Ovis aries: one gene and its partners. The protein of the gene in region 1 interacts with the protein of each later gene in a pairwise test. Links are inferred from orthologs where the notes say so. Each region holds a gene or a part of one and is shown on either strand. Other genes may lie near its edges.

Region 1 (4,119 bases):
GCTCCCCCCTCCCCTCCGCGCCCCCCCCCCGCCTCGCCCCATGCAGCCTTTTCTTAACAGGGTACCCTGGTGGCTTAGACTTAGCCAAGCAGTGGCCAGCATCGCTTGGCAACAATGCCCAGACACTTCAGCTTGTGATCCAGGAGACAGACCTTGAGCGGCAAGCACCTGCTTTAATTTAAAGTACACTAATTAATATCTGTATCTGCAAAGTCTAGCACAGGACTTGGTGCATAGAAGGCATTTTTAAACGTTTGAGCAAGGATGACATATGGATATGAAAAGGATAACAATGTTTGAGAAAGATAAAAATGCCCGTCATTCGCTGAGTACTTCCCGAGTCAGGTGACTCGGTGGCTCCCTACAAATTCCGTTTCTTAGAACAGCCCTGGGGTGGGTCTGTATCATTCATTCCCCCATTCCCCGTTGCTCAGGCCCACACTGCGGGGAGAAGCGTCTGCTGGAAGTTGAAGTTGGAGGGTCTGGCTCCAAAGTCTGCCTTCTCGGCGCAGCGACCAGGAGCGTCCACATCACGCTGCCACCTCTGTCTCCCCGGGTCTGCAGGTGAAGCTCGGTAAGGGGCCTTGCGTTGAGACCGCGTCCTTCCGAGTGGTGCAAGGATGGGCTCCTGGGCGGCTCCGGAGGCCTGTCCGCAGGCTGCGAGCCGGTGACTTGCAGCGGGGCGCGCTCTACCATCAGGTGTGGATGCAGCGGTGACCTTCGCCGTCAGAACCTGACTCCAGTGGACGCTCGATGACGACCGTTGGTGAACCCCCGCGGCTGTCAGCGGAGATCTGGAGACAGCCCCAGGCGGAAGATCCTGCCCAGGACGCGGCACAGACCCGGGACCCGGGAGCCCAGAGCCTCGGCTCGGCAACAGCGCACCCACTTGGGCGGGGCTCGGGGCGGGGCTCGAAATCGGCCCACCCACCTGGGGGTTGGGGGCGTGGCTCGGAATGGGGCTTGGGGCGGGGTCTGGGGCGGGGTTTGGGGCGTGGCTCCGGTCAGACCCAGCTAATCTGAGCTCGAGAGGCCAGCCCCCGCCACTGAGGAGGTGGTGGCACTTGCGCACTCCGCCGCCCCCGCGCGCCTCTCCGGGGCTGGGGGACGGGGCGGGGCGTGCCGGCGGCGCTCGGCGCTGACGCTGCGCCGACGCGCCCGACGTCGGGCACGTTGACGCCGGCGACGCGCCGCCGGGCCCGCTCCTCCTGCGCTCCGCCAGTGTCCGGCCGCGGGCCGGCCTCAGTGACTGGGGGCGGCGGGCCCGGGGCCGCGGGGCGCGGGGCGCGGGGCGCGGGGCGGGCGGCGGGCGGCGGGCTGCCTTCGTCGGGCCCGGAGCTCGCCTGGAGCGAGCAGCCGCCCGCGGAACGTCCTCGCCCGCTCCCGCCGGCGAGCAAGGTAAGGCAGCGGGGCACCGAGGCAGGGTCGGTGCGGAGCGGGGCCCCGGGCGGCGCACGGCTGCTTAGTGTCAGCGCCCCCGGGAGCGCGGGGCGCGGCCCGGGGGGACCCCCGGCGGACGGGCTCGCGGGGCAGTGCGCCGCCCCCCCACCCCCACCTCCCTGACCCCGGCGCCAGGTGACCCAGCGCTGGGCGCAGGGACGAGGACTCGGGGCCAGGCCGGGCTCCGTGGAGACCGGTCCCCTGCGCCCTGGGGTCCCCGCTGCTGCCGCACCGGGGCGCGGGTGCGAGCCGGGTAGAGGCGTCGTTCTCGTCCGGTGCGCGGTGCGCGGCTGGGCACCTCCGTCCCGGAGGTCCGCCGACCCCGGAGCACCGCCCCTCGCCCCGTCATTACATTTGAGACAGAGGAGCCTCTGGTAGTCTCACCCTTCACTTTTCCTCCATTCCTATTTATCCATCTCGACCCGCTATATTTCCATTGTGGAATATTTTGGGGGGGAGGGAGTGGGGTGGTGGGGGGAGAGGCTGTGACCTTACATAAGTGAGGTTGACTGACCAACCAGCGGAGTCTTTGCAAATGCACCTCTCGCAGTCCGTAACGAGCCTAGTTCCCGTTTAGCGCTCACCAAATCCAGCCCAAGAATCCGGGGAGCTAGTCGGTCCTTCCCCGGAGCTGACTGTACACATTCCTGTAAGATGCCTGATGGGTTTTGTACTTGTCAGTTTTACTGACTGTATGCTCCTTCTGTGCTTTTTCCTGAAACATGATTGGGTGGCACGTGTTTTGACTTTCTACCTCCCTCGCCGCTCCCCGCCCCACCCCCCCCAACCGGGAAATAAGAAAGGAGGAAAAAAAAAAAGGGGGGGTTACAGAAGCACGCTTGTTTCTCAACAATCAGAAAGTACGGCTTTGCAAACAAAATGCCACAAGGGTTGTCCCTTATGTGAGGGGTAGTCTTTTTGGTCTTTACCCACCCCTTCACTGATGATCGTCAGTATTCATGTCTTCATCTTGGGTGTGCCTTGCACTTCGGATAGGCCTGTGTGTATTTTCCCAGCGTACTTCTCTCTACAGAGCCTAGCAGTCAGATCTGGAAATAGTAAGGCCTTTCATTTATCAGCTCCAGATAGCTAGAAAGTTGCAGCTTTGTAGAAGCCTTTATTTAGAAGCGCCCCATGACGGTGGTCCGGGTCTTTTGTTTCCAAGATGATGTGCGAGGTGATGCCGACCATCAGTGAAGCCGAAGGCCCCCCGGGAGGAAGTGGGAGCCAAGGGTCCAGCTCCCCTTCGCAGCCGGATGCGGACTCACATTTTGAACAGTTGATGGTGTCCATGCTGGAAGAGAGGGACCGTCTTCTCGACACGCTGAGAGAGACCCAAGAAACGCTGGCATTAACCCAGGGGAAACTGCATGAGGTTGGTCACGAAAGAGATTCCTTGCAGAGGCAGCTCAATACTGCGCTTCCACAGGTATGGATGACTTTCCCCTGCAGGTTTTTGTCTAAATGCTTTTTTTGGGGGGGCATGCTGCTATTTTAGATGTGTATTTTGCCATCATCACTTGCGCAGCGGTGGTTCTGTTATTTGTAAGTCACATACAGATAGAGTTCCTGGGGGATTAAACGTCTTAGCTAGAGCAAACTCGTGTACTGTCGAGTCCTGTGAAGACACCTTATCGGTCCTGTTCATCTCTTTGGGGGGTCAGCAGAAGGAGCCGCCTAGATTTGGAGAAGCGCTGCAGAGTTTTGGAAAAAAGGGCCACCAAGTAACGAGTCTCTGCGATGCCTTCTGCTTTGTTGCCGTAAGCCTTTCCCCTCCTAATCGTGTGACTCTGTGGGTTGCATCATGGATTTCCAGTTTCCTAATGCAGTGTCCTGGACAAATGGAATGGATCTCCCAGGAAGAATATATTTACAGTCTGCCTTTCTCAGCAGCCAGGTGCTTTGTAAGTCAAGTTTGTTTCAGAGGATAGAAGATGGGTTCCTTCGGCACTTTCTCTTTAGCAGCTGAAGATTATAAAGTTCACAGTCACAACAAGGTTTTTCATCTAAGGGTATTGCGTTTAGAGCCGTGTCTCCAGGCCTTTTCTTGCGGCGCCGAGTGAGGATCTGATGATAGGTGCAGGGAGGTGTCAGCTGAAGACTGTGAGGTGGGTGGCGCAGTGTAGCGGGAGCCGTGAAGTTTCCTCGGGTGTTTATGGCTGCGGAGGCGCCGTTTGGCTTACTCATGATAGGCGCCTTTATGGTGCCGTCAGATAGACCTGAATAAGCGTGCGTGCATTCTCTCGTGATGGGTCTGTGGTGGTAAATTAGTAAATGAATAATTACTAGCCTTAATGCATTTCTTGGCTTTCGTCAAGTCTCCTGAAAGATTGATAAGCCAAACATGTGGACTTCCTCTTTAGCAACAGGAATTTTATGGCAGTGCTATGACGTTCCTTCTCTGTCAGACATGAGAATCATGGAAGTGTTTTTCCCATTTGAGTCTTGTAAATTACCAGGTTTGTTTGGGTCCAGTGTTATCACCAGTAACACTGTCTCTAGGAGATCGTGAAGGACTGGTGTGCTGCAGCCCACGGGGTCACAAAGAGCTGGACACGACTTAGACTTGAACAGCCGCCGCCGCCACCACCACGGGCCTCGAAGGATTGCCCAGGTTGTGCTTTACTGGGCTTTCGTTGTAGTGTTTGTAAGTCTTTTCAGTACTTGGGCATTTTTCTT
Region 2 (3,643 bases), on another chromosome or scaffold:
TTATCTTCTTAATCTATGCCTCTTCTTTTTCTGAGTTCTTGGATCATTGATCTCTACCATCCTTAATCTGAATTCTTATAGGTAGATTGTGTGTCTCCACTTCACTTATTCTACTGGAGTATTATTTTGTTTTCCCATCTGGATATGTGTATTCTTGTTGATAGAAAATAAACTGCAACTTAAAAGCTTAATTTATATGCTTTTATTTTTTCCATATAACCTCACAGATTTGTTGTGAATATCAAATATGAAAGTCTTAAGTGAAAGTAGATCATACATTTTAAAGTTAAACTGATTGAATAATCTCTGACTCACAAAAGAATAAGCTCCTAGTAAATAATCTCCATTTTTAAAATTGATAAATGAAGTATATTGAAAATATAGTCCAAAAGTATTCATAGTATTTTCTTTTTTTAATCAGACTTCCATCTGAGATCAGATTTATGTAAAATTTTAGATGTGCTTCCTTTCCATCTCCAGATTTGGTCTTAGTCTTTTCTGATAAGAAAACTATAACATGAGGCAGTAGGTTAAAGTGATCTTTTCAGATGAAGAAACTGAATCCTTGAATAAACTTCTTTGTGGATTTGCCTTTATATAACTTATTTTTTATAACTGATAGTTTTGATGTTTGTTTCATGTAAAGTGACCAAACTAAGCTTCAGAAGTACTTAAAAAGAAATATGTTTTTTCCATCCTAAAATAGATATTTATTTCATTGGTTCTAGCCAAATGAAATAGTGGTTAAAAGTACAGGCAGACCTTGGTTGAAAACATCCCTGTTCCTTGTTAGATGTCTGACCTTGAGCAAGTCAGTTAACCTCATTGATATTATTTTCTTTCTCTGTAGAGATAGCAACACTTCACCAAATTGTTATAAGAATTAAAATAAGGTAATAGTTTTGAACTTGGCACAAAGTGTGGCACATGGGATGCGGTCAGTAAATGGTAGGTGCTCCTTCTGCTGTTTGGTTTGGCAGCAGTGATCATGGTTAGATCACAGATCTAGAGTGGATTTAAAGAGAAGACTCATTGCTCTAACAGTGTTATTCTATCAGTATTTTATAAGATTGATTAAGCTTTGATCATTTGTATAAATTATACAAATATATGTGTATACTTAGTCACTCAGTCATGTCCAACTCTTTGTGACTCCATGGACTGTAGCCCGCCATGCCCTCCTCCAGGGGATCTTCCGATCACAATTTATTTTGAGTTAAGAAAAAAATAAGTTTTGGCATTTTTTTACCAGTGACTTTTTTAAAGGAATATTTGCATAAAATTTTTTTTTTAATACAGAACAACTTGTATGTGTGATAGGTTCTGATAATATGTGTATTTTTAATCTTAGGGTACAGCTTGTATGTATTTCAAGCGCTTTTATCTTAATAACTCAGTAATGGAATATCACCCCCGGATAATAATGTAAGTATAATTTATTGATTTTCACTTAAGAATACTTTTTTACTATGTGACCATGTACGTGTGTGAAAATGACTTCCTAATAAAGGGTAATTTATACTTGTATTCTATTCTGAACTTAAGATTGCTCCCTCAAATTCTGATGACATCTGTACTGGCACGTGTCCAAATTCACATTCTGTTTCTCTCAAATTGGCTACCCTGATATCTTTCTGTTAGTGGAACCTTTCTTCACTCAGTTGCTCTGAGAATCATTTACGGCAACTTCTCTTTCTCTACAAATTTACAAGTCCTGTAGTTCCCTGTTCATTCCACTTGAACAAAGATCTGTTGTTTCTGGTCTCTGCTAAGCACTGTGCGTATCGTTACAGATGAAGTTAGTATGAAACGTAGCAAAGAACTTGCTGTCAGTCGTACTGTCCCTGTCTATTTCTTCTTTTTCATTCTCATCTCTACCAGTCCTGGTCAGGCCCTTGGTGCGTCCCATCCTTCTCACTCTGAAACTCATGTAGCAGCCATGAGAGTTTAATAGGCTTGTTCTTGAGGCAATAACCCTCTATTTAAATGCCCGTAGAGACTTCCACTGATGGCTTGTCACAGTGTTTCTCTGACGTAACTTTCTTCCCAGGCCCGTATGTACTTATGTGTGTGCCTTTTTTTCCTTCTTCCATTTGTTTTTCATGATGCTGAGTTCTCTTATTCCTATTATTTTGTTTTCCCAGATATTTAGGCTGAACTGCCATTAAGTTAATAATTGAATGCTGTGACACTATTATACAGTTCAACCTACAGCTTTAGTCACCTTATGAATAAAAAGATTAAACAGGAAACTTTTTTTTAACCAATTTCCAAAGATGTCTAGTATAGTCATTTGTGAATATTAGGCAGTTTTAGAACATACTTTTAGAAATATTTCATTATTTTATACATATTCCTCCCCTTATTTTTTCCTCTAGGCTCACTTGTGCATTTTTGGCTTGCAAAGTAGATGAATTCAATGTATCTAGTCCACAGTTTGTTGGAAATCTGCGGGAGAGCCCTCTTGGACAAGAGAAAGCACTCGAACAGATTCTGGAATATGAACTGCTTCTTATACAGCAACTTAATTTCCACCTTATTGTCCACAATCCTTACAGACCCTTTGAGGGCTTTCTCATTGATTTAAAGGTAATCTTGCTGATGTAAAGTAAATTGGTAGAGTGAACTCCTTTGCTGCTGTTAAAAGAATCAAAATTTTGCTATAATTTATAATGATCCTGATGGGCTTAACTAAAATATGAGTTTCGCCTGAATTCTTAGGGCAATAGTTCTCAAACTTCAATGTGCTTTAGTGCTTCAGAACCACCTGGAGGGCTTATTAACTGAAATTGTCAGACTAGTCCCAGAGCTTCTGATTTAGTAGATTTGCAAATGCCAGCCCAGGGACCCTAATGAAGACCATTGTGTCTTTGTAGTAACACTTTTAAAGACTTAACTCTTCTAACTCAAGTATACTGTCTTGGATACAAAAGGCTTAATTTTAAACTAGAAGATTGCTGAGTGACTTCTATTTTTAGGACCTTGTGAACTAAATTCAATATGTAAGCATCAAAAGTAACAGTAAATAAAATGTTTTGTCAGAACACTAACAAAAGCAACTAAAGTTGTTTTGTTTTGGTCCTGAAGAAGGACTTGAGTAGTGTGAGTTATTGGTCCATTCATCTTGAGTGGCAAAATTTGGGTGCTTTCTTTGTGCCAAACATGGTGCTTAAGGATTAGCCAAGAACTAGACAGGAACAGCCTCAACTTTATAGGCCTTATAGTCTCACAAGAAAGTGTCATATATTCAGTGTGCTTAATGTTAACAGAAGGGGAAATACAGGGTGCTTTAGAAGGAGATGGCAGATTGAGAGGAAGAGGAGACAGTCCTGAGAAAGTGTAACAAGGCGAAATCCAGAGCAAGAGCAGGGACCGGGTGGTAGAAGAGCATCCTGCTCAGAGGCTTCTTTGGCCAAAGGCCCAGATTTTAAACCCATGGTACACTGAAGAACCTAAACAGAACTGAGGGATGGGGATGTCTGCCTGAGTGGAAGGCAGTCTAGACTGTGGAAGTTACGTTACAGATTTTGCATAGAGTTGACAGGAAGCCAGTGAAGGGGTCAGGTCTGAGGAGTGATATGATCAGGTTTGCAGCTTTAAAAACATGCTGGCAAGCTCATGCATCAGTCTGCACCAGGTGTTT
Region 3 (4,074 bases), on another chromosome or scaffold:
TCGCAACCAGCTATGGTTGGACGACCTCTTCCATTTTATAGGGAGTGAAACTGAGACTCAGGGAGAACGGGATCCCCAAGGTCTCAAACTGGAAAGTGGAGGGGCTGTAGCGTGTGTCACAGCCTCTGTAGGAAGCAGTCTGGGTCCTATCTCCTGCTAAGTGTACTGGACTTCCACAGTCAGGACTGACGAGAACAAGACTGGAGGGAGCACAGAGAGCAAAGGCCGGCATTTTGCTGCACATAAATATAATTCCCAAGGAAAGCAGCCAGGCTGCTCTTATTGCAACGCTCCCCCTCTCCCCGAAATCCCCTCCCCAAGTGCTTCACTAGCCTAAACCTCGCCTCCTCCCCTAGAAGCCGGGACAGCACACACACGCTCACTATGTGCACAAGGCTGACCAGAGGGGAGGCCAGGAGCTGCAGAAGGAAGGAGAGAAGAAGAAATTATATGAAAACTATTTTCTTTGTAAAGGGAGAAAAGAGGGAAGAGGAAGAGCAAGGAGAAAACAGAACTACAGAGATGTCTCCAATGACAAGGGGAAACTGAGCAAGCAAAAATGTATGAGAAAATGTGTGCACAAGAAAGCATGAGGCTGCACGTATACACACACCCTTCCTAGGCTGTGCACAGGGGAGCAGTGAGAGTGTAAGCAAGAACACAGGCTGGGACATGGGCGTGCAAACACAGCAGATTTTGGAGCTCTGGCTGTTGCGCAGGCCCAAGTGTGCAAATGAGAGGGCACTGGGGAGACAAGTGGATATGGAGTGGAGGTGGGGGTGGGAGGGTGAGCTGAGTGTAGAAACAGGGGGGTGTGAGTGTGTGGCCTGGGCTGGGGCTGCGGATGTTGGGGGGCTGTGCTTGGGGAGGCTCACCTACTCCTTCCTGAAGCCCTAGGCTCATTCATACCATCAGTGAAAAACTGGGATTTTCTTGCTCCCTGAAGCGAGAGTTAATAAGGAGCCAAACACAGAATTTCCTGAGATTTTTCTGACAGAACCTTGCTCTGGATCCCACTGGATGCCATATGCCTCTCAAAGGATCCCTCAGCAGATCTCCTGCCTTTTCGGTGGATCCTTCACCACTGAGGATCCCCCTGGAAGCACCAGCCCTGGATCTTTTTCCAGGCCTCTCACCCCAATGCACTCCTCTGGATTCTCTGCTCAGATCCCACACCAGGTCACTCTGGGAGCCCAAGGGGAGTCTTCATCACCAACACTTCCGCAGTCCAGACTCCCAGGCCTGCCCCCCCCCACCCCCGTCCGGGGCCCCCAGGGGAATCCAGAGGACCCTACCCCCCACTCCTGCCAGCAGCCTCCTTTCCATTTCACAGCTCAGACAGGTACCCGGCACCCACCCATCAACCAGTTCCAACTTGGGGGCCCTGCACTGGGGGGTGGGGGGTGTTGAAAAGAGGAGAAAAACTAGCCCCTCCCCCACCCTAGGGTGGAAGAACCAGAGGGGCAGCATTCCAGAGGAACGAGGAGGAGGTCTGGGTCTCTGCAAAGGGGCAGCAGAGATTCCAGTCCGTGGGAGACAGAGACACCAAGAGACCCGACAGAGACCCGGGAAGGGAGACCCAGAGATGGGGGAGGGAGCAGAGAGACCTGGGAGGAGAGAGCAGAAAGCCGGGAAGAGCACAGAGAGACCCAAGAGAAGGAACACAGAGACCCGGCAAGGAGCACAGAGAGCCGGGAGAAAGAGCACAGAGAGCCAGCGAGAGAGCAGGGGAGACCCGGAGGGAGTCGCAGACAGCAGAGAGACCCCGGGATTGCTTGGGGGGTGGAGTGGGTTGAAAGTGGGAGGCCGCGACACGGGGAGACAGAGATACAGAGGCTTTGAAGGGCGTAGAGAGACGGAAACACGGAGGGAAAAGGAGAAATAAGCCGAGACAGGATCGTGGGCACAGCGATGAGGACCGGGGCACACCAACACGGGACGGGACGCCGGGCGGCGACTGAGTGAACTTTCCGGAGCGGGTCCGAGTGGACACGTCCTCACGGGACAGGTCGTCCCAGGGCCTTTGGGTCACTGCACCCGGGGAGGGGCGGGTACAGCCCGGCCCAGCGCCTCCCCAGCCGGCGCCGGCGACTTGGGTGCGGGGGCTGGGGAGGTGGGGGTTTCCAAACTCGCGCCCCGCGCACCCCGGGACGGCACGTGCGCCCGGGCCGCGAGCAAGACGGGGGCGCGGCGGCTGCGGATCCCCCGCCGGCTGGGAGGGGGCGCCTGTGCGGCGGGGGCGGGGGCGCGGCCTGGACCCGCCCGGAGCTGGGGAGGCGGTGGGAGGCTGAGGGCCGCCCCCGGAGCGTGTCCGCGCCGGTGGTGGGGGCAGACGAGGTGGGACCCAGGAGGGGGAGCCCCAACGCAAAAGGGAAACTTTGCGCTGGGCGGGGGGGAGGGGGGCGGCGCGGGCTGCGGCTCAGGTGCGGCGGGAGGGAGGGGGCGAGGCGGAGAAAGGGGAAGGCGCCGAGGGGCGGCAAGGAGCTAGCCAGCCGGCGGCAGGGCGATGGGGGGGGGGGGTCCGTCTGCCGCGGGGTAACGCGGGGAGGAGCCGCCGGGCTTGGTGGGGGCGCTTAGCCGAGGCGGCGGGCGCGGCAGGTGGGGGCGCGGCCCGGCCTAAGCGGCGCCCCCAGCCCCCCGGGACCGCCCCCAGCTCCGCTCTGCGAACGCGGGGAGAGGGCGGGGGAGTGGAGAAGGGACCGATGCGGAGGGAACTGGAAGGGGGCCCGGGGGTCACTCACCGCCTATCCAGGGGCCGTCGGTCCGCATGTCCCCCCAAGCCTCTGGGGCCGCTGCTCCCGCTCCTCTTCTGCCGCCGCCGCCGCCGCCACCGGATCCCACTCCCGCCACCGCCACCCGAGCTGGAGCCGGAGCCGGAGCTGGAGCCGCCGCCTCTGCCGCCGCCGCCACCGATTCCGCCGCTCCCGCGCCAGCTCCAGCCGCGTGCCCGCGCCCACGCCCGCGCCCCTGCCCCTGCCGTGCGCGTCCCCGGCGCCGCCCCTCCCCTCGTGCACTCTCGCTCGTAGAGCTGCTGAGCCGCGTAGGCCCGAGGCCGCAACCCAACCCCGCGTGTAAACCGACCCGGACCCCAGTACAGAACCGGAACCCCCATAATAAGCATGGGCAGACCCAAACTTCCATACGAAGTCCGGATCCTACTAGAGGCTTCCAATCCAAATGTGAACCTGATATTACTCTAGGACCCCATTTTCTCTCCGTAGAGATCTGAACCTGCTATTGAGCCCAGACCCACCCCAACTCAACAGTAAGTCCAAACCCCCAAATCTGCCGTGAAGTTGGCTCGAGTAGTAATTTTAATCTGAACCCCTTTATTAAACTGAAATTCCAATTCTTAGGCTAAAATCCCTTTATCACCTCTTCTTTGATCGTGACCCCAGCATCAACCCTGGTCCTTAAATGGACCCCAGTACCAATGCTGAGCCCCAGTCCCTGTGTGAACCTTAAAATACGATAGCTACTTTGCTATGGTAGCTACCCAGCACTTTTTTGTGAACCCCAAGCCTTTCCATAAAACTCTAATACTGCAGTCCCAGACCCAGGTCAATACCAACACACTTTGTGAACTAGGATTGAGTCCCTGGAAAAGGACCCTAATACAAATACTGACCTCAGACCTTGTCCATTTGAGGGCCCATTTAAGACCCTAACTTGACTCACCTCTAGTGGTAATCTTGGAACCTAAGATTTATGAGACTGGCCTTGTAGAAGCTCCACACAAATCCACTGCAGCCCCATACTCACTCTCTACTCTTCTGACCCTATATCAACCCCAGCCTGAGGCTGGCCAGCACCCCAAAATCAGCAATGCCAACTGTGGACCTGAGTCAGGTCCTGAATTGGCCCTTAGTTCAGCACTTGATAGTGTCCTCCAAGCCTGATATAAACCTCAGTATTGAATTTCTGACTCCTCATATCAAACTTAAATGCTGACCCTATAAATCTCTGGCTAAACCAATAACTTACCAACAGATTTACTAGAGGTTCTAACTCATAGGAACTTGGTGAGCTCCAAACCAAGAGCCACACCTTGGCACCAAAGCCTCTGATCTCAGA

The links.
Region 2: the proteins of PPFIA1 (region 1) and CCNH interact in binary tests that used the Homo sapiens proteins (3 or more experiments, as listed by UniProt). The link is inferred for Ovis aries from reciprocal best matches to the Homo sapiens genes PPFIA1 and CCNH.
Region 3: the proteins of PPFIA1 (region 1) and PTPRF interact in a two-hybrid assay, tested with the Homo sapiens proteins (2 studies listed by BioGRID). The link is inferred for Ovis aries from reciprocal best matches to the Homo sapiens genes PPFIA1 and PTPRF.

What each region holds. Positions count from the first base shown.
Region 1 is NC_056074.1:43,817,828-43,821,946, forward strand, and holds the start of PPFIA1 (liprin-alpha-1), read left to right. Parts: upstream 1-1,294; 5' UTR 1,295-1,398; intron 1,399-2,605; coding exon 2,606-2,869; intron 2,870-3,104; exon of another isoform or gene 3,105-4,119. UniProt on the Homo sapiens protein: May regulate the disassembly of focal adhesions. May localize receptor-like tyrosine phosphatases type 2A at specific sites on the plasma membrane, possibly regulating their interaction with the extracellular environment and their association with substrates.
Region 2 is NC_056058.1:84,668,250-84,671,892, reverse strand, and holds part of CCNH (cyclin-H), read left to right. Parts: intron 1-1,351; coding exon 1,352-1,425; intron 1,426-2,378; coding exon 2,379-2,589; intron 2,590-3,643. UniProt on the Homo sapiens protein: Regulates CDK7, the catalytic subunit of the CDK-activating kinase (CAK) enzymatic complex. CAK activates the cyclin-associated kinases CDK1, CDK2, CDK4 and CDK6 by threonine phosphorylation.
Region 3 is NC_056054.1:18,193,674-18,197,747, reverse strand, and holds the start of PTPRF (receptor-type tyrosine-protein phosphatase F), read right to left. Parts: upstream 2,932-4,074; 5' UTR 2,742-2,931; intron 1-2,741. UniProt on the Homo sapiens protein: Possible cell adhesion receptor. It possesses an intrinsic protein tyrosine phosphatase activity (PTPase) and dephosphorylates EPHA2 regulating its activity.